Coturnix japonica: one gene and its partner. The protein of the gene in region 2 purifies or fractionates together with the protein of the main gene of each other region. This does not show direct contact. Links are inferred from orthologs where the notes say so. Each region holds a gene or a part of one and is shown on either strand. Other genes may lie near its edges.

The links.
Region 1: the proteins of TNKS2 (region 2) and RNF146 purify together in Homo sapiens (co-immunoprecipitation; 3 studies listed by BioGRID and IntAct, with this or other methods). This does not show direct contact. The link is inferred for Coturnix japonica from reciprocal best matches to the Homo sapiens genes TNKS2 and RNF146.

What each region holds. Positions count from the first base shown.
Region 1 is NC_029518.1:53,754,335-53,765,800, forward strand, and holds the start of RNF146 (E3 ubiquitin-protein ligase RNF146), read right to left. Parts: upstream 5,667-11,466; 5' UTR 5,546-5,666; intron 5,465-5,545; exon of another isoform or gene 5,137-5,464; intron 1-5,136. UniProt on the Homo sapiens protein: E3 ubiquitin-protein ligase that specifically binds poly-ADP-ribosylated (PARsylated) proteins and mediates their ubiquitination and subsequent degradation. May regulate many important biological processes, such as cell survival and DNA damage response.
Region 2 is NC_029521.1:17,301,246-17,312,216, reverse strand, and holds the start of TNKS2 (poly [ADP-ribose] polymerase tankyrase-2), read right to left. Parts: upstream 10,759-10,971; 5' UTR 10,548-10,758; coding exon 10,346-10,547; intron 5,512-10,345; coding exon 5,287-5,511; intron 4,616-5,286; coding exon 4,520-4,615; intron 4,186-4,519; coding exon 4,149-4,185; intron 3,835-4,148; coding exon 3,759-3,834; intron 3,309-3,758; coding exon 3,214-3,308; intron 2,068-3,213; coding exon 2,001-2,067; intron 606-2,000; coding exon 419-605; intron 186-418; coding exon 64-185; intron 1-63. UniProt on the Homo sapiens protein: Poly-ADP-ribosyltransferase involved in various processes such as Wnt signaling pathway, telomere length and vesicle trafficking.

The DNA of each region.
Region 1 (11,466 bases), on a different chromosome or scaffold from region 2:
CCAGCAACATAAACTCTTAATAAGAGATAAGCACAACTGCAGTTGCATGTGCTCAGAATGCAGGACAATTGTGCAATTGAAGATTTAGATCAACTAAACTGAGGCTGTCTCCTTTTTGTTTCTAAAGAAAGATCCTAATTAATCCTTTATTGTTAACCTATTTAAGTAACAGACCTAATTCACAGTAGCTTTATATGTACATTTCTATTGAACAGGAAGCCCTTTAGAAAGGAGGAGAAACATCTAGGGCTGCTATTCTGTAAAGCTGTGACTGTAGAAGCAATTTCTTCCAGGTTTGTGATATTAATAACTAAATACAACCGAGTACAGACTATTTTCCCTGAAATTAATAGCAGTACTTTAGAGCAAAACTTAACCAAAAAAGGCTTTATATTAAAATGGTTTTCTAATGCTAAACTTCTGCTATTTTGAAATTTGGGTAACATTTTGGGTAACAGGAAAAATTACGTTATCGAATAAATCAAACGTCTAATAGAAATTAAATTGACACTTTCTATAAACAAAATGATTTGAAGTATTTTGATAAGCAGTTCAGGTATAAAAAAAAAAGGAGCAACAAGCATTTAACATTGCATTTTAATAGAAATACAGCCCAAAGCCAACTGAGAAGAAGCTGGTTTACAGTCTTGCCAGATCACACATCCTCTCCTCTTGCCTCTAATATCTTTTTCTTTTAAATTAATATTTAAACCTATATTTCACTGGGTAAGCTTAGGGTGCCTTCAGCAACACACAAAGTACACTGCTATGGACCAGGTAATGTATAAGAGCTGTATGAAAATTCCCCTGGCCTACTGGGGCTCTGTCAGAAGAAAAAGTAAATTCCCATAAAGCCACCCCAAAACAGAGTAATTTTTTCAGATTCCAGGTCCAATTCTAACTGCAAGCAGGCAGTCTGTCAAGGAGCTAGCACATATAAGTCCCTTCATAAAGCAGCAGCTTACTTCTTCTCAGTAATTTCTACTGGAGCACGTCACAGGACTAAGATGTCCTGTCTTCAGATGCCTCCAGCTAGGATGGCAGGTCCTCCTTCCAAAGGCTGGCTCACTCCTGCCTTGTCCTACCCAATGCTACACTACTGTGTTTCGGATTCAATGAGTGCTACTGCAAAGCAAACAGTATCACCATTGTAACAGTGTTGTACAGAGGTATGAGCAAGCAAAATACACCACCAGGGTCCTGTTAGAGAAATGGAATTACTATCATTTACCTGACAAGGGCTGTTTTCAATGTACAGAAATGTTATCATCAGGCTTTGTCTTATTTTTTGCAATTATCAGTTCTGGCCCACAGTTTGACGTCAATTATTTTGACACCTTAATTTATGCAAGTTATCTTTTCCTAAAGTATTACAAAAGGCAATTATCTTTAGCTATACTAAGTCAATGCCTCATTTCCACAAAGTAACTATGTACACAGAAGGAGAAATGAGATCAAAGATAGGAATACGTTATGTTAATGCAAATTTAGCCTCTAGTATTCGACTTCTTGCATTCTGGGAGTTTAGAATGTAACAACAGCTACCCAAATCCATATGCAGCAAAAAACCACTTCATATCCCATTATCCCAAAGGACCATCTATCTACTCTTGTATCTCGTCTCTAAACAGGCAGCTGTTTGAGGAGAAAACAGTGCATGTAAACGTGGGACTTTCCCTAGGCACTCTCCACAATTCAAGCAGTCTGTTGAATAAGGCCTTCCTTATAATATTTGCTCAGGGAAAGGATCATTTCAGCATAAATACAGTGCTTATAAATACATATCAGACTAACATACAGACTACAAAGAAATGGAGGAGCAACAACTCCCTGAAAGAACATGGAACACTTTGTATTACAGCCTTCTGTGCCACAGTCTATCCAACGTCTGAACGCTTATCACTAGCAACATCAGAAAGAAATGTTCAGATGACTTCTAAGACACATTACTCAAACATTATTTTCTTTACAGCTGAGCTTCACGTGGCATTCAGTGCAGCTATTTTTAGAGCCCGTTCCTAAGGAAAAAAATGCAAAAATTAACGTGCCTATCCACTTGTCCTAGCACCTTTTCGAAAGATGGTTCTCCCCTCATCGTTCCTTTGCACATCAATCTGGAGAGCTGCAATCACATTAAAATTCTGGCTCTACTAATCCGCTCAGACAAGATATGGCGTTTGCTATGATCAAAGAGACAGCTGCAACAAGCTCAGTGCTGTGAATGTGGCATTCAGTCCTTCATCTTAGGGCTGGCTTTCTATGGTACATCTGTGGGCTTCACTTGAAGCCTTTTATCTATTACCTCTTGCAATCCGCTATTAGAGGTAGCGCATTGTGAGACCAAATGTTATGTGGAGATGGGAGAAGGAGGTTGGGTCATTTCTGACAGATTCTTGGGGAAAAAAAAGTGTGTGCGTGTAGTTAACGTGTGTAATTATACCTAGAAGAATCCAATTAGGGCATAATTATAGGATTATGGCACAGCAACTTTGTAATTGCTGCACAGCTATTAAAGAGAACTAGTTCACATACTGACTTCAGGTAACCTCCGTGCTTCATTACATTGTTATTTATTTAATAAGCCAGTCCTAGAAATTTTACTAAACGGGATAAAAGACATCTGTGGTTACACACACACACACCCCTTCCTGGACTCCTGCTCCTTTGAAGTAAAGTGGCTGAGAGCCATGTTCTACACTTAGCAATTAACTTCCTATGCTAGAAAAGCATCTCATATGAGGAATTACGCTATCTGTGGCAACCTGTGAGTGTCCCTTCCTCACCAAGCCCACGAGGACTATTGCACACTGATTCTGAAACACTCAGCCCACAACAGATGAAGGACAATCCGACCCACTGGGAATTGGAATTTAAACTTGGCATCGCCAGCTGGGCAACAACTGGTGCCACACTGTGGCTCAGCCAGCGTTAACCACCCCTTGTTTCCTTGGCAGGCTGTCAGGACGCCTGCTAGGGAACCTCGTGCCAACTTCTTCCACACCGTGTTAGGATGCTGAAGCAGTGTCCCTCCTAGGACACCCGTCATCCAAAAACGGCATGAGGTCTTTGATAAAATCATCAAGCTTTCACTTGGCCAAGATGAAGTGAAACCATCTCCTGTCAGATCAGTCAGCTGCTGCCTATCAAATTCCCAGTAGCGTATCATAGCCAGGGCATTATTTTTCTCACTTTTCTACTATTTTGGAGACACAAGTGATAGGAAAAATAGCAACAATAAACACATTTCCAGAAACATAAGAAGCCAGATCCTAAATATAAGTGCACTGTTTGTTATTTACGGCCCTAGGAAATTTTTGTAAATAAAAGTTTATCTTCTTAGGAAAAGAAGAAAACAAAACACCACTGGTAAATTCAACTAAAGCCAGCTTCTCACTCGCTGAAGGCTATCACTTAAACCCTGCCTCAAATGAAAGGTGATCGCACAAGTTCTGCAACACCAGACAGACCACTTTACAACAGTTAGCACAAACTCATTCGTTGACTGCCAGAGGCTGAAAACTGAACAGGTGCAGCGCTACAAAAGAAATGATCAAAGGTAAACGTTCTTCTGTGATTCAATACTTGACTGTTACCATCGGGCTCCCTAACATATATCTCAGTTACTAAGGAAGTAGGGTGGGGGAAGGTAGAAGCAGAGGAAAAAGGATCCCAGAACTCTTCCCTATAGGACAGCGTGAGCCAAATGCTGGTAAAGGAAGGAAGGATGGTAGTAGTTGCTTTATGCTGGTGGTGTTCTGTTTCATAAGGGAGAAAAAATAATAATTATATATATATATGCATATATATATCTCCCATCTGGAGGCCTACTGTCACAAGTACAGTATTAGCTAAAGGTATGGAACCTGTCTGGTGTTTTTGCAACTGCCTGCAAGCATCGGACAGCACAGCAGGTAAATAATCTCACTGCCTCCTCTCTCTCTCTTAAAATACTTTCAGAAATCAATGATGTGATAAGGCTTCAAATTCCCTGTCGTTCCTTTAAACAGCATTACTACACTTTAATTTTAAGAAGCTTGTATATTGGTGTGGGTCCGAGTTACAGAAAAACAGTCAAGTGCAGAACAGTCAACCATTTTGATACTGAATGGCTACATATTTATTCAAACTGAATTTCTTCTGCTGTGCTATAACTGGGAGCCCGTGTCCTACTTCATTTGACTTAAGTGAGGAAAACCTCAGTTTCGCACTCAAATAAGAGGGCACTGACAAAATTCCTGTGGGAAAACAAAGCAAAAATGGGCTCATCTGAAGCTATCGCTGCTTCTGAGAGAGAAATGAAGTACAGGAGCATTGTGACATATAAATTAACATGCACAGAAGGAGGAAAAAAAATAATCATCGATTCCAAGAAAGATTTTTCCCCAGCAACACCAAGAGCCTTCCAAACCTTATTCGACAGCCTTCAAAAGTCCTGCAGCTTCATCTCTCTGGGCAATTCCATTACATCTACATGGATGTGGTGGATTTAAGAGGAAACAAAAAGAACAAAACTTTCACTCGGCCATTTAAACAATCGGTACTTTGATTCGCTTGGAAAGAAGCCACAGCGTTAAACCTCACAGGGCTATAAAGCAACTCTGCGCAAACATAAAATATTTAAGATTTACTCAAAGTGACCCAAATCAATATTCAGGTTTTACCGTGCCTTCGGTACAACCGCAAGTGATCACTTTTGGCTGTGCGTTTTCAGAGGCACTTGAAGGCCTATTTTTAAGCAACCCACTGCCCAGAGGCAGCATCTAACAACGCCGCAGCGCTGTACCTTCAGCGCTACCGATGTGACAGAACACTTTAGAGCTCCGCTCCCTATTCTCCCTTTTAATTACCCCCTGCACGCTGCGCTCCCAGCAACAAGCTCTACCCTATTTCTACTTCACGTCGCAGAAAAGTTATGCGAAGACGGAAATAAGACGCCTTAATTGGGGTTTCTTCACATGCAAAAAGCGGACATCCACAGCATGAAAAACCTCGTATTCACCGAGTATTTCGCAATCATTTGTCAGCGGTGACAATACATATAGCACAAAGCGCAGGACCTATTTTTCCGCCCCGCTTTACCACTCCCGAAGGATGCAATTAAAAACCTCGAGCACAGACACATGGAAACAAAAGCACCTGGCGGCACCGCTCGCAGCTCCTCACGCTCTTCCTGTTGTGCTCGCCGACATCCCTCGCTCCCCCTCCGGCTGCGAGGCTCGGCCGCTGACAGCGGGCGGACAGCAGCCGAGACCCGGCCCGCCGCCCTCCCCTCTCCGCCGGGCCCAGTGTTTCGCGCAGGGCCGCGGCCTCCTCCCTCCTCCCTCGATGGCGAACAGCGACGCCGCGGGACTTGGGCTCCAGCGCGGACAGGAGGGCGGCACCCGCCGGTCCTCGCCCGCCGCAGGGCCGCGGCAGGCCCGCTCCGCCCGCCGGCCTTTTGTTTGGGGCCGGCGCCTACCGCCCGGCCAGGCCTCGGCTCCCTCCCCGATCCCGATCCCGGGGCGGCCGCTGTCAGCGCTGACCGCCCACCCAAGCCGGGACTCACCCGCCGGGCCGGGCCGGCTCGCGCCGCTCCGCCGCCACCTGCCGCCGCCTCCGCGGGACGCTCCGACGTCACGGCCGGAGCAGAGCGGGGGAGGCCGCGCCACCGTGACGCCGCGGATCGGGAGGAGCCACAACCGGCTCCGCCGCTGGGGGCCGCGCTCGGGTGACGCCATGGTGCCGCGCCGCCACACCCCGCGCTCGTGATGCCGCCATGGCGACGGGGCCTGGAGCGCACCATCCGCTTTTGGGGGTTCGGTGTCTCCGTCGAACGGAGATTACAGGAAAATAAAGCACCCTGAATGAAGTGTTCTCAGTAATAAATAAACCCGCGTCTGTGTTCCGGGGTCTGACAGTTTAGTTCGACCGAGAAAATGCAGTAGTGAACGTATGGTTTCATTTTACGCTCGGTGAAGAAATGGTTAAAGGCAATATCAGGTTGTGCCGAAGCTGGTAACCGAAGAATGGTACCTGCAATAACATCGGCCTTCATTGCCAGCTTTAATTTCAGTCTAAATGCATGTTGTGTTCGCATCTTTGTGCTGGCTCCTGCAGCACATCGCCCCACGTCCAGCAGTGGTTTCCTTAACGTGCATTAGCTGTACCTGTCTATTGCAACTGAAAGCACCACCACTCTGTCTGCCTCTGCTTCCTTCGTAGCTCCGTGCCCTCCTTTGTTTCTCTTTGTTACCATTGCCTACAGCGTCGTCAATCTGGAATTCATGTCTGATACTTGCCACTACATTTTTAATGTGCACAGCGGCTTGAAAAGTAAAGATTCACCAGACTAGTCCTGAGAAGACACCTCCTCCCCTGGCAAGAGTCTGCACCCCCACTATTAATATTCTGCTGATGCTTTGGCAACTGAGAGCTATTAATCATGTTTCAGTCCTTCTATTTATAAAGACCTTTCTTCTGCTTCTTTAGATGTGTATGATACTATGTAAACCCTTGGAGACATGCAGGTATACTATGAGCTCAACCCCTGCTTGTGACATAGCTGGGGGAAGATAGGAGAAAACAGTCTCCTGCTGTGGCTTGAGTCTGTATCAAAATAGATTTTGGAGAAGCTCCAAGCTTCTCCAGGTCACAATAGAAGCAAAAGAGTAGGTGATTTGTGAATCACAGAATCACACAATGGCGTGGGATGGAAGAGACCTCAAAACCCACACAATCACAGCCCCCTGCCATGGGCAGTGCTGCCACCCACCAGATCAGGCTGTCCAATGGCCCCATCCAACCTGTCCTTGAGCACCTCCAGGGGTGGGGCATAAATGGGATAGGATATGGAATCGTTTCCCCTTTTCCTCACACCTACAACTTCAGCCACCCCTCTGAACAGAATGAGAAGTTGTGAATCCACCAATATGGCACTAGAGTGACAAGTGTGCCCCTGGTTCCTCTGTGCGGGCAGCCAGAGGAGGGGCTGAGGAGTGAGTTCCAAAGTGAAAACATTAAAAGCAAATATCCTGACAGTGTTTTGATGACACATTTGTTCCATGAAACCCTGTTGCTTGTAGCTCACTGTGTTCCTATCCTCTCAGCTGTTGTAGAGCTCCCCCCACGCGGCTCTAACATTTTCATTAAAGTGATATGTTGTTGCCATCACCAAAGGCTGGCTGGGGTATGGAAAATCTCAAATCTTCCTTTTTAAAAGTTAAATATGTTGTTTCTACAGTACTTGACACAAGATTGTCCTGTGAGTACTGTCACAGCAGTATGGTGGGCCAGAATGACAGTCACTGAGACAAACATACATCTGCATCAGCTCCCCAGAAGTGCAGTTGTTATGGTGAAGTGCAAGGCCTGGCTGGCTGCAAGGTGATCAGCAGCCCTCCAAAGCCTAGGCTTGGGCTTACAACTTTGGTTTTCATTTTGAAGAAATAAATAAATAAATAAATAAATAAATAAATAAATGAGAAATAAAAACAATGAAGAAAAACAACAAAAATCCACAACTACTGCCTTGTAATATAGTGCACTGAAATCCTTTATTTTCCTTACTGCAGTTTCCCAGAATTGAAACTTACTTCAACATCTTCATCACTGACCTGACAGAAATCAGTAAGTTTCTTGACAATATGTGGCAGGAAGGAGACGCTGACACACCAGAAGGCTGTGCTGCCATTTAGTGAGATCTGGACAGTCTGGAGAGTTGGACAGAGAGGAACCTGATGGGGTTCGACAGGGGCAAGTGCAGTCCTACACCTGGGGAGGAATAACCACATAGGAATAACCACATACATCAACACAGGTTAAGGGCTGGCCTGCTGGAAAAGAGCTCTGCAGAGAAAAACTTGGGTGTCCTTATGGACAACAGGTTGGCCATGAGCAAGTAGTGCATCCTTGTGGCCGTGAAGGCCAGTGTTTTACAGAGTGCATTAAAAAGGGTGTGGCCAGCAGGTTGTCAGAGGTGATCCTCTCATTCTGCTCTGCCCTGGTGAGGCCACATCTGAAGAACTGTGTCCAGTTTTGGGCCCCCTGTTTCAAGAAGGACAGGGATCTCCTAGAGGGAGTCCAGGAGAGGGCTACAAAGATGATGAGGGGCCTGGAGCATTGTTCTTATGAGGAGAGGCTGAGAAATTTTCAGAAATTACATCTTCTTGTAAACTAGCTGGAGTCACAAGACCTTCGATGAAAAACTATTAGAGCTAGAGCTATTATGCCTACATTTTATTTTAATGGAAAGAAAGCAAAATATCACAAATGTGCTGCAGTGATCATCATCTTTCATTTAATGAAATGGAAATTGCAGTTTCCTTTTGTATCACTAGGTGGTATATGGTAACTGTGGGGAAACTGTGTTCTTCAAACTGTGTTGGTTGAATAGAGGTATTTCTCTCCCAGTCCAGCTAATGTACTGAGCAGATTCCTGGACTGCAGACTAAATGTGTGCAAAACTATTCCTGACAAGAACTAAAACTTGTACCAAACAGTGGCTGTAAGAAGGAGCTTCTTTTTATGACTTCACTAGTCTTTTCTCCACAAAGAAGGAAAAGAAGACAGAGTTGTTATGATAAAATATGAGAAGGAAATGAATGTCAATCAGTGCTTAAAATAATGCCACCACATTAACCGTTGTGCCATTTTTGTCATTATTACCTCTGTGAGACACTCAAGATGGGACTGTTAAATTAAGGCTGATGTTGCAGATGGAAACTATGAAATATCACCAGCTTTCACATTTGTTTTATAGTGTTCTCGGAGAGTATAACAGTGTAGAGCAGAAAAGTGTGTTTCTTAGTGGCATGAACTCTGAGCCGACAGGATCTCATTGAGGATTTGAGGCATCCATAGTGCTTACGGGATGGTTAGTATAGCTTGCAAAAACACTATTTTAATATTAAAAAAGAATAGAGTTAAAGGCTCATCATTCTGATAACCACACAGCTCCAACACAGTACTTACACCAACCTTTCATTTATGCTTGTAAGTAGCCTCACTCAATCCAGCAGGATAGATTGCCCAGTGGATATCTGTGTGCTTCACTGCTGCTGCCTTGCAATCCCCTTACACTGGTCCAGGTCATATACAAAGGTTTCTATGTCCTCTTCTTCCTACAAAAGAGGACAAGAAATGATCTGAAAGCAATCGAGTATTTCTAAACATTGTGTCGATCTCCCCCAGTGGAAAAGAAGGACAAAACGACATGCTGGTTGAATTCTCTGACAAACTACTTTAAAAATATAATGATCAGGCTCCTCCACTACCACCATTTATCAGGAAGAGGTACTTCAGCAGAAGATAAATGATTTGCAATCTCAAGTGAAGGAATGCATTTTCTGCAGCCCAGAGTGCAATGCCCTTTCTCGCTGTCTGCTTAGTGCCTTAATGTCGGCCACTTCCTGCTCATCATGTTAGTTCTAGTGGTCCTAATTGTACTGATTGAGTGTGAGTCAGTTTTGTGGGTTTCAAAGAACGACAAAAATTAGCTGCAACAATACCATACTGCTCTCTGGACCCAAAGGAAGATGGTAAGCAAAAAGCAGAATGCTGAGAGGAAAAGTTCACAAAAACATTACTGTGCCTTTGGGACCCAGACTTCAGAGGGTACAGCTTTCTAATCTCTGCTCTGGCATGAGCTTTCCCAAATCATAAGTAAATTTAGCTTTCTGTGAGATGGATTTTAACATTTACCTGTCTCATGGGGGCCTCATTTGGGTTTGTTAGTTAAAATCCTTTGAAGATGGAAAGAATAAAATGGTAGCATTCTGCTGACGTCATCGTCCTCTCCAGGCTCCAAAGCGTCATCAGGGAATGCTCTGAGGAAAGCAGTTGTTTCTCAGTTGTGGTTACTTACATTTATACTTTACCGTGTATGCTTGAGCTTGTAACTGCTTGGATTTCCTTTATGGCATTTTTTTGTCATTTCTTCATTTTCTGGTAATGCTGCCCTGGAAGTTAGTCCACCTGGGAGCTGGACTTCTTCCCATCAGTTCATAATTATTGTTTTCACTGGATGTAGAGGGAGATGAAGAGTCATATGGGAGAGCTTTCTGATGTGTGAATTAGATTCACACATCTGGAATATTAGATTGGAGGTTGTTTGTGGTTTAGATCTGATTTATTAATCCTGAAAAGCTTTTGATGTTTTCATGCATCATTAATATGGGAGAATATGTATTGTTTCAAAAGGTTCAGGTAAGCAGATTAGGCATTGTGTTCTTTTATTCCAAGTTCTCGCATGAGCTGCATATAATAAAGAGTTCTAATTATGGGGAGCATTAAATGCTGGGATTAAGAGTAATAAAATAATGGTGTTCCTGTCTCTTGGCTTATGGCAGTGCCGCCAAAGGCCACGTGGGGTTGATATTGCAAGCGGATGAGGAGCCTCAGTTCACCACTCCACCTGGTTTAGAGTAGCATGTTACTATGAGCTCAGTTCTGGCCTCTGTTCCTCTGGTTAGCACTCTCCTCCAGAATTTATTTTTTTGCTGTCAGTTAATTCTTTCAGATGTATGATGGTCACTTCTGCCACTGCTGTCATTCTCTCTCCAAGGAAGTTGTGGTGGGGCTCTTTAAATTCAGGCAAAAAGTACAAGTTTTCCAATAACTCTGAAACAATCTCTGACAAATCTGATTTTGCATGTCTCATTTTTATGTCACCGTTTGGCACTGCTGACTTAGCTGCATATTGGATAGTGCCATAGAGACACTTCACTGCTGTGTGCAGTTCCATAGAGTTTACCAGACTTTCAGGTGCTTACATAAGCAATGAATAATGCATAGCCTTTAAAACACAGAGCAGGTGAATAACAAGATGACTTTGGTGCCTCCTTCCCTGTATAAATCCCTAGATTTATACCAAGACTAAATTTATGACATCGATTTACTTGAGCACTCAAAGCCATCCTCATAATTCATGTCAAGCAGTGTGCTGCAGCTATGTTGTTCCACTGAGCACTTATTAAATTCATTGCTGTTGTAAGAACATAACTCCTTGAGTGAAGCAACATTGGGTTGTACAAATTGATTCCTATGATTTCATCCAAGACTCAATTAGAGCTAATACAATGGGACAGTGAAAGAAAGTAGAATGTGATTGTAATGTCATAAGGCTTGAAGAGCTTTATTATATGAATTAGTAGGTTAAGTTCTTTCTGATTCATCTTACAGACTCTTCATGTCTATAGATTTCAAAGATTAAGCAGTACATTTTTAAGGAGACGTAGTGCTTTGATTTGATGAAACACCATTTGCACTTTTACTTGCATTTCCATAGAACAAAGGCTACCCATATGTTTTTAAGAAATGTGCACAGTTTTGTGCATCTTCATATATAGAGTCATGGATGCATCTTGTTCTGTGCTCTGTGGCAAAATTACTGTGATGCTCTAGCTCAGCATTCTGATTTTACATTCTATGAAGGTTGAGGTAAATTAGCCTTGGTGAGTTTGGTTCAGATTGATTTTACATTGACTAATA
Region 2 (10,971 bases):
TGAGTCCTCAACTATTGCCTACTACATTTAGTCAGTCACATTTAAGAAATTCAGAAATGTTACCAGTGCAGTCTCGTGTGTTTGAGGATGCTTGAAGTTAACTGTCTCCAAAGAAAGATGTTTCTTTATACGAGCAACATCTGATTCTCTTGCAGCTTGTAGCAGTGAGTGACCTTTGAATTCATCTTTAAAGAGAAAGACATACGAGAACTTTACATTCTTTAGCACTAGAAGGATCGATAAGATTGATTCTTTCAGTTAGAGGAAAGCAATCATTTTATTTCCTGATAGGAAATTCAAGGGGCTTCTTCCCCTGCTAGAGTCACAGGTGCATTCAACTTCCACTGGGTCACTGTCCAGGTAACCTAAACATACAGTGTGATCTAAAACTGAAGAACTGATCTCATTTTATACTCACATGCTAATCGTTCTTTTAATTGGGGCGTTGGAGCCAAATCAATGGTGCTTTTGTTGTGACAGTTCAACAGTGTTGGGTCAGCACCATAACTTAACAAAAGAGAACATACTTCCACCCTGTTCTTAGAAGCTGCTTCGTGCAGAGGAGTGAACTGCCACAGATCCATTGCATTCACACACGCTCCATGCTTGAAAAGGAGGAAAAAGGATACAATATCAAAACCAGATTTCTAGAAAAGGGCTTGCCAATGCAGTAGACTGTTCAAATAAAAATTAAAGCTAGTATGGAAATGGCATCCAAGTCATTCTCCAAATTTTCACATTCAATATTACAGCATATTTCAATATTGCAGTTTTTAATCCTCTGGTGTCTCAAAGTTAAATCTACAGAAGCCAAAGGCAGTCTTGTCTCATCAGGCTTTCTTCTCTGAAAATCAAACAGCTCATCTACAGGACAAATCAGATAAAGAGCCTAATTCAACTACATCAAGTCACTTCTGGACAAGCTCCTATTTCTTGTTGCTCTAGAAAAAGTCTACAGTGAACAGCTGCACTAACATCAATATACTTTCTGTAAATGCCCCCAAGTAATGACAGCCAAGATGTCCAAAAAGAAAGAAGCAAAGTCAATCTCGATTCAAAACATTAACTACAAAGTTCTATAAGTAATATTCTTGGACTTTAACATCTATGAAATTCTTCTCCAGACAACTTCAGTTCTAACCATAAGGAGGTCTGATTGGACATCCTCATTCCTACTGCTCCTGTTAACACTGTAGTGCTCACAGAAAACAGTTCATTGGACCAGATACCCAACAGGAAATACAATTGCAGCTTGGCAGTTAAGACTCAATGAGTGGCTAAGCACATCTTTTGTCTAGTACCATAAGTAAAGATTCACTTTACGACTGGCCTGTGAAGTAGAAACAAACAATAAAAATTGTCTGTTTATATTTACTACAATATATGATTCTTTCAATAATTTTAAACTTATTTTCTTCTAAACCTGAGATTGGTGGAGACTGAGATCACCAGGTAGAAAACCTGAGCAGCATCTAACAGCACCCACTCAGCTGCTTTAATGTTCATTATTTACTGTGACAGATGAGAATGAACATAGTTCAGAAGTCCTACTGTGGCACAGACTCTTGCAGGGAACATATTGAAGCCCTTGGTTTAACGTGTATCATATGTTATCTTCAAGATTAACACAATTCAAATAAGGCAATTCAGTTAACATTTTAAAAGTTCACATACTTTTTCTCTGGGGTGCAGGCTATGATTCTGGGCCACAATTTATGCTGTAATATTCAATTGAGAGCAGCAGTACTTACTTGATGGTATAAAACCATTTAGCTTCTAAAACAAGAGTTAAAAACAGAAAGCACATTTATGAGAGGAAAGCTTCCTTGCAAGCAGAAAATTCTGCAACTTCAACTCGATAGCTAACATACAGCAAGTACAATCTATCAACTTTTAAGTTTCTAAAAAGAACGAAAAATTTGCAAATGTAATCAGTCTATTAGTCTAAACTGTGGTTAATTAATATTATCCAATCTAATTTATTTTCTTCAAAGACTAACCTTTACTAGAAGCTCTGTTACTTCATAATGACCATAGGAACAGGCATTGTGAAGCGGCACCAGATCTCTACACAAGAGAGAAGAGAGAAATTATGTTAGTGCTCCTAAAATCTAAAAAATTGCTTATAATACTAAGCTGCACCTTAAACATTAAAAAAAACCAACAAAACAACAACCAACATCAGTATCTGAGCTGTTCAAATGAAAATGAGGGGAAATGAGAAGCTGGAGCCCATATAAACTGATCAGCTTTTTTCAGAACAACAAACATATAAGTTAACAAGAAGGTGAGAAATGAATAGCACTGTCTTAATGTAATTGAAGTGCTTCTCTAAGACTTGGAACCTTAATCAGGAAGAAGTAAAAGCAATAACTGTCTAGGATGACAGTCATTACTTCCTTTTTCACAAGAACATTGGTATAAAATTATCTTCTCCCTTGGATACCAGAGGAGTTTTACTGGTACTATTTAAGTAACTGTACATTATTCCACAGTAACAGCAGAGCTAGTTCTATAGCCTGTTTCATATTCTACCAAGCTGAATGGTCTTAGGAGCCAGTGAGAAATTATCTGAAGCATGCTCTTGAGCTGTGGGCTAGTAAGGGAGAAATGACAAAAGTGGATTTCAACACTGAATGGACAAAGTTGCCTGATCAGACAGCTATCTACATAGCAGTGATAAAAGGATGGACAAGGGTTTGCTTTCCATAATCTTTAATATAGAAAGTATACATATAATGAAAAGCATATTTTAAAAATATTCTATGCAACCATAAAAAAACTCAGCACATTCATATTTCAGTACATGTTCTGATATAACAACCAAATGCTTAAACACATGGTCCTCAGATAACTCTGAAGAACAGATCTTCAATTTTTCATCACTTTCCAAAAAAGTCGAGAAACTTACAAGTAGAAATAAAATTAAGACTAGGCCATTACTATATTTACTGACTCCCCAGAGACTTACTGAAGTACTTTCTTAAACAAAAACAAGTTGGCTAGCGATACCTGAAAGGCGACGTATTTTATGGTAAGTTCTGGATTCTTCTGCTTCACAATATTTAAGACTGTCTGCATAGTATTTTTGTCATGACAGAAAGATTTGTTGTCTCAGCTCAGAAAATCTTAATAATTAAAACAGTCTTACTATCCCTCACCTCAACTTTGAACATTTTCCATTTCTTCTGAACAAAAGAAAAATGAACCTACCCCTTATCCTTAGCGTGCACATCAGCACCATGTTGCAGTAACAGCTGTACTATTTTTACACGGTTGTACCCAGCTGCTAAATGTAGAGGAGTGGACTGAAATGACAGAACATAGCAGAAATCAGCAACACAAAACCAGCATTTAGCCTTATTCTTTTTTTTCCCCCCCAAAAAACTTGTTAACAGAACTAATTACTGAAGTACTCAAAACACCTGTAACACTAAACAAAACCCAGAGAGTTTGAATCAGATGCACAATAACTAAATTTATCTCTTACTGGCTACTTTTACAGACATAATTAACACAAATCCTGAATCTGCTTTATTTCTAATAAGTTCTGGGATGAAGGACCTCTTGACAGATTTTTTGAGTTCTGCAATTCATTTCTGTATTTTAGACTGCCATATCTCTAATAACTTTGCCAGGACAAACAAGCTGCTTGCAAAAGGGGAACCAAGACAGCCAGCACAAGCTATGACTGCTAAATTATAAATAGCTTATGACAAACAACAAAGAGTTTAAATTGGATTTTTAAAGAAAAATACCTTTCTGCCGTCACTTGCATGACAGTTAACATTCAATGGTGTAAGAAGAGACATCATCTTTTCTTCATTTCCACTCCTGTAAAATAAGATATGAAATAGGCAGAACTCTTCTATTAGCGGCTTATGGTCTCATACTTTCCCTTGCTATGACGTTCTGGAAATCTGTTCTGAAGTTATATGTTTGTTTATTCATTTATTTCAACACTAAAGTCAAAGCAAACAAAAAAGTGTTTATGTAGTTATATTTTGTTGTTTTATTTACAGAAACAGCCAAAGCTTACTACCTAGATGGAATGTCAGCCCACGGATGTATATTTTCATTACACAGAAAACCCCTGTAGAGTTCTAAAAATGTAGCTAAGTTCCAGATGTGTTCTTAAAAACGCATACCTGGCACTTTCTAAGAGCTCATCTTTCTTGTATTCACCTGGAAGATAAAAGAGAGTTTCTAAAGTTATTAAATAAATATGCATATATTTAAGTTCATGAGTTAAAGCTTGCAATTTATCATCCTCTTTCAAAGCTGCAGGGAGCTAAGCACTAAAAATTTGACAAGTTATTTTCAAACTGTTATAACAAAGTATTTATCCAAAACACATCCTGTCAATGACACAATAAAGCCATACAGTGAATTTCTACCTTGAATTCTAAAACAGAAATGAGTTAAAGTAACTGAGGGGGAAAAAAAAAACACCACACAAATGCTGTATTACAATAATAGGAGTGTTATTAGCTAATGTAATCTAAAGATCATCACATACCAGTCAGCACTGCTTTTGCAGATGGATCTGCTAAATCCAAAGCTGTTCTTCCATCTGTGTTCCGGATGGTCGGTTCAGCACCATGCTGCAGCAATACTTCAAAACGCAAGAGTATTTCATGAGAAAACAATTGGACAAGACAAGACTTATGAGACAATGTAAGCAGCAAGCAACAACAAAAAGCTATTACTGTTCCCAACTTCCCCTTTCAATCTTTTGATGTCAGAATTCCTGAATGGCACCTGTGATCTAGTGAAACACATGAGGAAAAAAAAACAAAACCAAACAGAAGTGGAACAATCAGAAACAAGCAGGCAGCAATTGCAGTGAAAACCTGAGACTGACATATGCCCTAAAACCAGCGGCTCCTTCTCAACTGGTCCAGAGCACACTGCCTCAAAACTACAGCTGACTGTCCTCTAAATGGTACACAGTGGTAGCAAGCCATGTATCTTCACAGACCTTGCACTGATACCGGGGCCAAACTGGCCATGTTTATATTTACTGCTCTCCAGATGTGCTCTTGAATAAAGTGGAGGAAGCCACCTATAGCCAAACCTCAACCTCTCTTAGCCCCTCCTCTCTCTTAAGAATTGCATAGTCAATATATGTAACTATATTGACATGCTCAACTTACTAAAACTTACTTTATATCCTCAGCTAATTTAACATGACTGCCATGAAAACACAGAAATAATTTATTATTAGAAAGTTTTGTTATTTCTAGTGCACTATGACTAGTCACAGTAGAAGTGCAAGAAAATTACCAATGCAGACATCTGTCTTGCCCTTAATGGCTGCTTCATGAAGGGGAGTGTAATTCCAATTGTCGCGAGCATTAGGATCTGCACCGTGCCGCAGGAGGAGATTGACAACTTCGGCATGACCAAAAGAGCAAGCATTGTGAAGTGGGATAAGGCCTCCATCATCTCGTGCGTGGACATTGGCACCGCTCTGCAGTAAGTATTCGACTACATCCTTCCGACCAAAACCTGGAAGAGAAACAGCTTTGTCTCATGTGCAGGGGATGAAAGAAAGGTGTAGGGGAAGACAAATATCTGACCCTCATACTCATACTGGAACAAGACATTTAAATGACAGCAATCAGTCAGAATAAAAATCTCAGCTGGTGTTCCTTACTAAAGGAAGGTTATTTTCAAAAATACCCACAATTATTATATTAAAATCAGTAGGAAAGTAATATTCAAGATCACTAAAACAATGAATATCTTGGTAGGGCTCCCACGATCAACAGCTTCTTGAACACATAACAAAAGGACAGACTACCAACAACAAATCCTCTTTTTCAGTCATTTTATGTGGCCATTAAACTAACACTATCTTGCATGATACTCTGCTACAGGAGGACCAACAGATGAGCTCAGGGAGCAGGAGTGGTGAGCGACTATAAACCAGGGCATGCACAAGTTATATTAAGTAAAAATAAACAAATCATATAGCATAGTATGAAAATTATTTCATATAACTTGATTGTTAAAACAAGCAGCGTTACTCTCAGGTTAAAACAAGAAGTATGGCTGTCTGCTCTCTAAGGGTTCATTAGCACAATGAGCACACTGTGACATCCTTGAAGCTCTCTCTTAAGAAAAACCTTTGGAACGTAAAACATTTATCTGAGAGCATTTATGATGAGCATGCACAGCCATAATTCAAAGATAGCCAGAAAGTCTACTTTCAGTGATTCCCTGCGTGACTGTAAGAACTTAGTCTGAAGCACAGAAATGCTCTTACACCTTCAAAGGAAACTTTACATTCACGTCATTCATGTTAGTGTACAACAAAAACCTGTGCCCATCTGTGGTTAGCAATGCATCAGAAGTAAAGTGATGGGCTCTTTAAAGCTAATTCTACAGCTTCTACTGTTTAACTTCAGCTGTATCTTGCACATTTATGTAATGGCACAAACACCAGTATCTCAAACTACTGCCAATTGTGTCCATGCTTTCTCTAGGACTTTTGCATGAGGACACAGTGACTGAGGACTGCTGCTTCTGTGCCTACACAGAGACACACTAAGGGACACAGCCTATAAAATTCCCTCAAAGGCTTCATGAAGACCCATCTGAATCTCAGTTATTAGGAAAGGTGAGAGCTGTATGTTTGTGTATGTGTACCAAGCACCTGCTCGGTAATGACCCCTTATGCACAGGGCTTGGCCTTCCGTTAAACACCCGTGGTGCAAACCATTTTCAAGGGAAAACTGAGAATTGTGTGGGATGAAGCCTCCACATGGGAGCCTTTCCCTCAGCCCAGATCACTGTGTGATTGCAAACAGCAGCGCACTCAGAGCCAGCAGGTTTTAATCTTTGTTACAACCCAACCTGCCTGGCCTCAGCAGGCAGCCAGGAGTCAAGGCAATCTGAACCTAAAATGGTATTTTTTCCTGACAACTGCACAGCGTTCCAGTGACAGAACTGCAGAAGCACGAGATGCGCCAGCATTTTATTCACAACAAAACTTTTCAGTTTTCGTTTCATCACAACTGAAGTTTCTCATACCACGTTCCTCACTAAACCTGACTTCAGTGTCTCTTTCTCCCAGACAGACAGTAAACAGAAGCCTGGAGCCCCATGAGGAAAGCAGAGAGACCTGAGGCTCTTCACCCTGGACAAGAGAAGACTCAGAGATCTTATCAACACTTACAATTACATAAGGGCAGGAGTTGAGTCAATGGGGGCTGGGCTCTTCCCAGCAGTGCCCAGTGACAAGGAGCAATGGGCACAAATTGGAACACAGGAAGTTCTGCATGAACATGAGGAAAAACCTCCTTACTGTGAGGGTGACAGAGCACTGCAACAGGCTGCCCAGAGAAGTAGTGGATGCTCCTTCCCTGCATATACTCGATACCCACCTGGACAAACATGTTTATTCAAACCTTAGTTTGCTAGCACCTTTGCGAGAGCAATCTCTATAGAACTATATGTCAAAAATCAGTTCCTGTACAACATATACCTGAAGAGCCACGCTGTCTACATATTACATCATATCCTGCATATTTCACATTCTTCCACTTATTTTTTCTTGCATCTCTAAAACTTGCAGAAATTCTGCTTCTAGGGTGAATGCATAACCACGACTTGCTAAATTCTTACAGGATCTGTTCAAACGAGACTTTTCATGAGTCCCTCAGTCCTGTGAACATATCAAACCTGCTGCTATTTGACAGCAGACTGCTTGGCATCTGCTTTTGGTACCATAAAATGTTTTCCAGAAACTACTTTACCAGTTGTGTTAGAAAAGCCTCTGATCCAGCTTTCTGCCTCAGTTATGGATCTGATGGATAAACATCACTCATTCTTGCATAGAAGGCATCACTGTCCATCAAAACTTTGCCGTGTGCTCACAGTTCTGAACACAGAAAACCAATGTGAGCGTCAATCCATACCAGTACAGCTAGTGAGCTGTGGCAAGCCTCACTATAGGTGTAGAGAATTCACTCTGTGGCCCTCCAGTCAGTATGTGGGTTCAATCAAACACAGTTCCTACATCAGCTTCTCTCAGGGCAAAGCCAGCCCAGCTGGGAAATACGCCCCTACTGGGGGGATAACAACACCCCCAAACCACCCACCGTTATGGTAGAGTGGAGACAGAGGATCATCTGCATCAGACCAGCTTCTGGAACTTGGTTTCAGCACAAAGTGTGCTGCAGGGGCTCCCCACAGCCTTGTGGGAGCATCCCTACCAGAAGGCACAGCATACTGAAGCATTTCCTATGGGAGTACGTGTGCAGAGGAGGGGGTCAGGCTCTGTGCAATCACCTTTCTTATTCCTATTGCATGCTCAAGGAACACAGCCCTTACTGGCACACACTCCGCAGTGACTCCCCCTTTGCTAGTAGCCCACTGCTGCAAGAATGGCTTCAATATTCATCTATTCTAAAGCTTTTCTTTTTAGCTCTCAAGTTTCCATCAGAAGACCAACTAAATATTATTGCAGCTCAAAGCAATGCAAGATAGCTGGTCCCACCAGCACACTTCATTTCTTACTGCAAAGCAGCAGAGCTACTACTCAGGACACAGAGAGAAAAGAAAAAAAAAAAAAAAAAAAAGAGCATTTGCGTTAGTTTGTTTCCTTTTTCTGTTACATTGATATTTAAAGGAAAAGAAAAAGGAACCGGGTTCAGGACCCAGAGTGTCCCTGAAAGAGAAAAATGGCAACACAAAAACGATCTTCATGTTTCAGCGCCACCTCTTCACAAAACAAAGCCTCGTAAGTGAATGAAACTAGTCAGAGAAGTTTTGTAACATTTTTTCTAAGAACATGAACCTGGGCTAAACAAAGCCAGAATACAAGACTTTTGCTTTTGCTTCCTGGAATGTAATTCCTTCAGGCAACAGAGACAAAAGAAGCTGGTATTACTCAAACTGAAAATAACATGGAAAAAGCAAAACAAACAAAAATATTCCTAACCTCCAACCCAAGGAGCTGCTTATGGCCAACTTGCAAGCTGAGCCTACTGCAGGTAGAGCCCTTTTTGCTGTCAGCCCATCTGAAGCAGTGGAAGCGCATTGCATCAAGACATTACACGTGCATTTTACATCCTGCCTTAGCCAGAAACTTTTTGTACATCCTACAGTCCTATGAGAAACACATTTAAATTCTCTGCATTCAGATTGAAAGGGATAGAAGCAAGGACAAAAGCACTTACTCACACTTTTGCCTTTCTTTGCCTATTTAATGAAAAAAAAAGAAGTTTTCAGTAAGTTAGAAGTTCTGGTTTATAAAGCCAAGACAGATCAGCCCTGTCCAGAGAGGCAAACTAGGTCACTGCCTATGCCCTCAGGCACAAAACAAAAATAAGCAATAAAAACCAACCAACAAGCAACCTAACAACCCACATCTACAAAATGCTGTTAAACAGTCTCATTTATTTAGAAGTTTATGAGCTATGAGGCAGGGCTGGGGTTTATGAAAAAATAGCTGCAAAACTCCCTTCCTCTGACAGGATGCTTTATGTTGTCCCCTGGGCTTTCCTGCTGATCGAGTTTCCTAAATCTGCAAATCACAGCTGTCCTGAAAAAGTAGCTCTCAGGAACTCAAATCCATTAAAGCTACTGAATGAGAGAAAATGACATATTAATTAGAAACCTCTTCTAAAATAATTCACTGGGGGAACAAACTTCGTTATTAGTTATACGCACTTTCTAGCTGAAAGCTGCTGCCCCTTGCCTACCCCAGGGCCCTGCCGCTAAGGCTGCAATCCAACCAGAGAAACAACACGAAAACAACAGCCACAATCGTGTCTTTGTCTGAAAAGGTGGTATACAGTCTTCCGGCCAGCCACCAGAGACAGCAGTTGTTCTGTGATGTCAGCTATTTGCCTAAGTGCCAAATTAACAAAGTCTATTTGTTAACGACACAAATGCAAAAAAAAAAAACAACTTCGGAACCGTGCTGTCGGTCGGGCACCATCCGTGGGAGAAAGGCTCAGCGAGCTGGGCTGCAGAGGGACTAGGAGCACTACGGGGACACTCGGAGCTGACCGAGCCCACAGGCCGCTGCAGAGCCATCACTCGGTGCTGCAGAGCCATCACTCGGTGCTGCAGAGCCATCACTCGGTGCTGCAGCCCCACGGCCGGGCCGTTTCATTTACTCGTGAAACGCGAGAGGCCTCCGGCCCCACCGAGCCCGGCAGCCGGACAGCGGGGACAAGGCCTCGCCCCCACAGCAGCGACTACGGCCTTAGGCCGCCCCACCGCCCGGCCCGAACGTGCTCGGCGCTTCGGGGAGGCGGCGATGCGCGGCCCGGCCACCCTCGGCCCTCCCCCGGCGCCGCAGACTCGGCAGCGCGGCCGTAGGCCGTACCTGCGGCGAAGTGCAGCGGGCTGGACTTCCTGCCCGCCGTGTCGCGGCTGTTCACGTTCTCGGGCCGCACCAGCCGCTTGACCCGCTCCACGTCCCCGTTCCTGCAGGCCTCGAACAGCTCCCGGGCGGGCTCCACCGCCGCGCCGCAGCCCGGAGCCTCGGCCAAGGCGGCCGCGCCGCCCGCGCACCGCCGCGCCGCCATGCCGGGCCGAGCCCCACGGAGCCGGCCGAGCGGCCCTCGCTGACCCGCTCACAGCCCGCGGCCCCGCGCGGCGGCAGCCCCGGACTCGCTCCGCTGTGCAGGGCGCTGTGCAGGGCGCTGGGCCCGGCGCATCGCGGCGGAGGGATCCAGGCGGAACGGCCGCGATACCGCAGCCAGCAGCTGCCTCGATGCAGCCAGGAAGGGGTCGGCCGGACACGGCGCGCATGCGGCACACGTGGGGTCGGGAGGCGGAGCGGAGCCGCGGGGCCGGGCTGCTGCTGCGGGATGAGGGTGGTCTGTGGTTCCACAGCTGTAGAAGCGATCCCGTGCTACTTAATGAATTATCCATTAGGATGTGCTAATAAAGGACTTTTTTTTTCCCCCTCCCCAGAAACGTTAAGCATTCTGGTGCTAAGAACTTCCT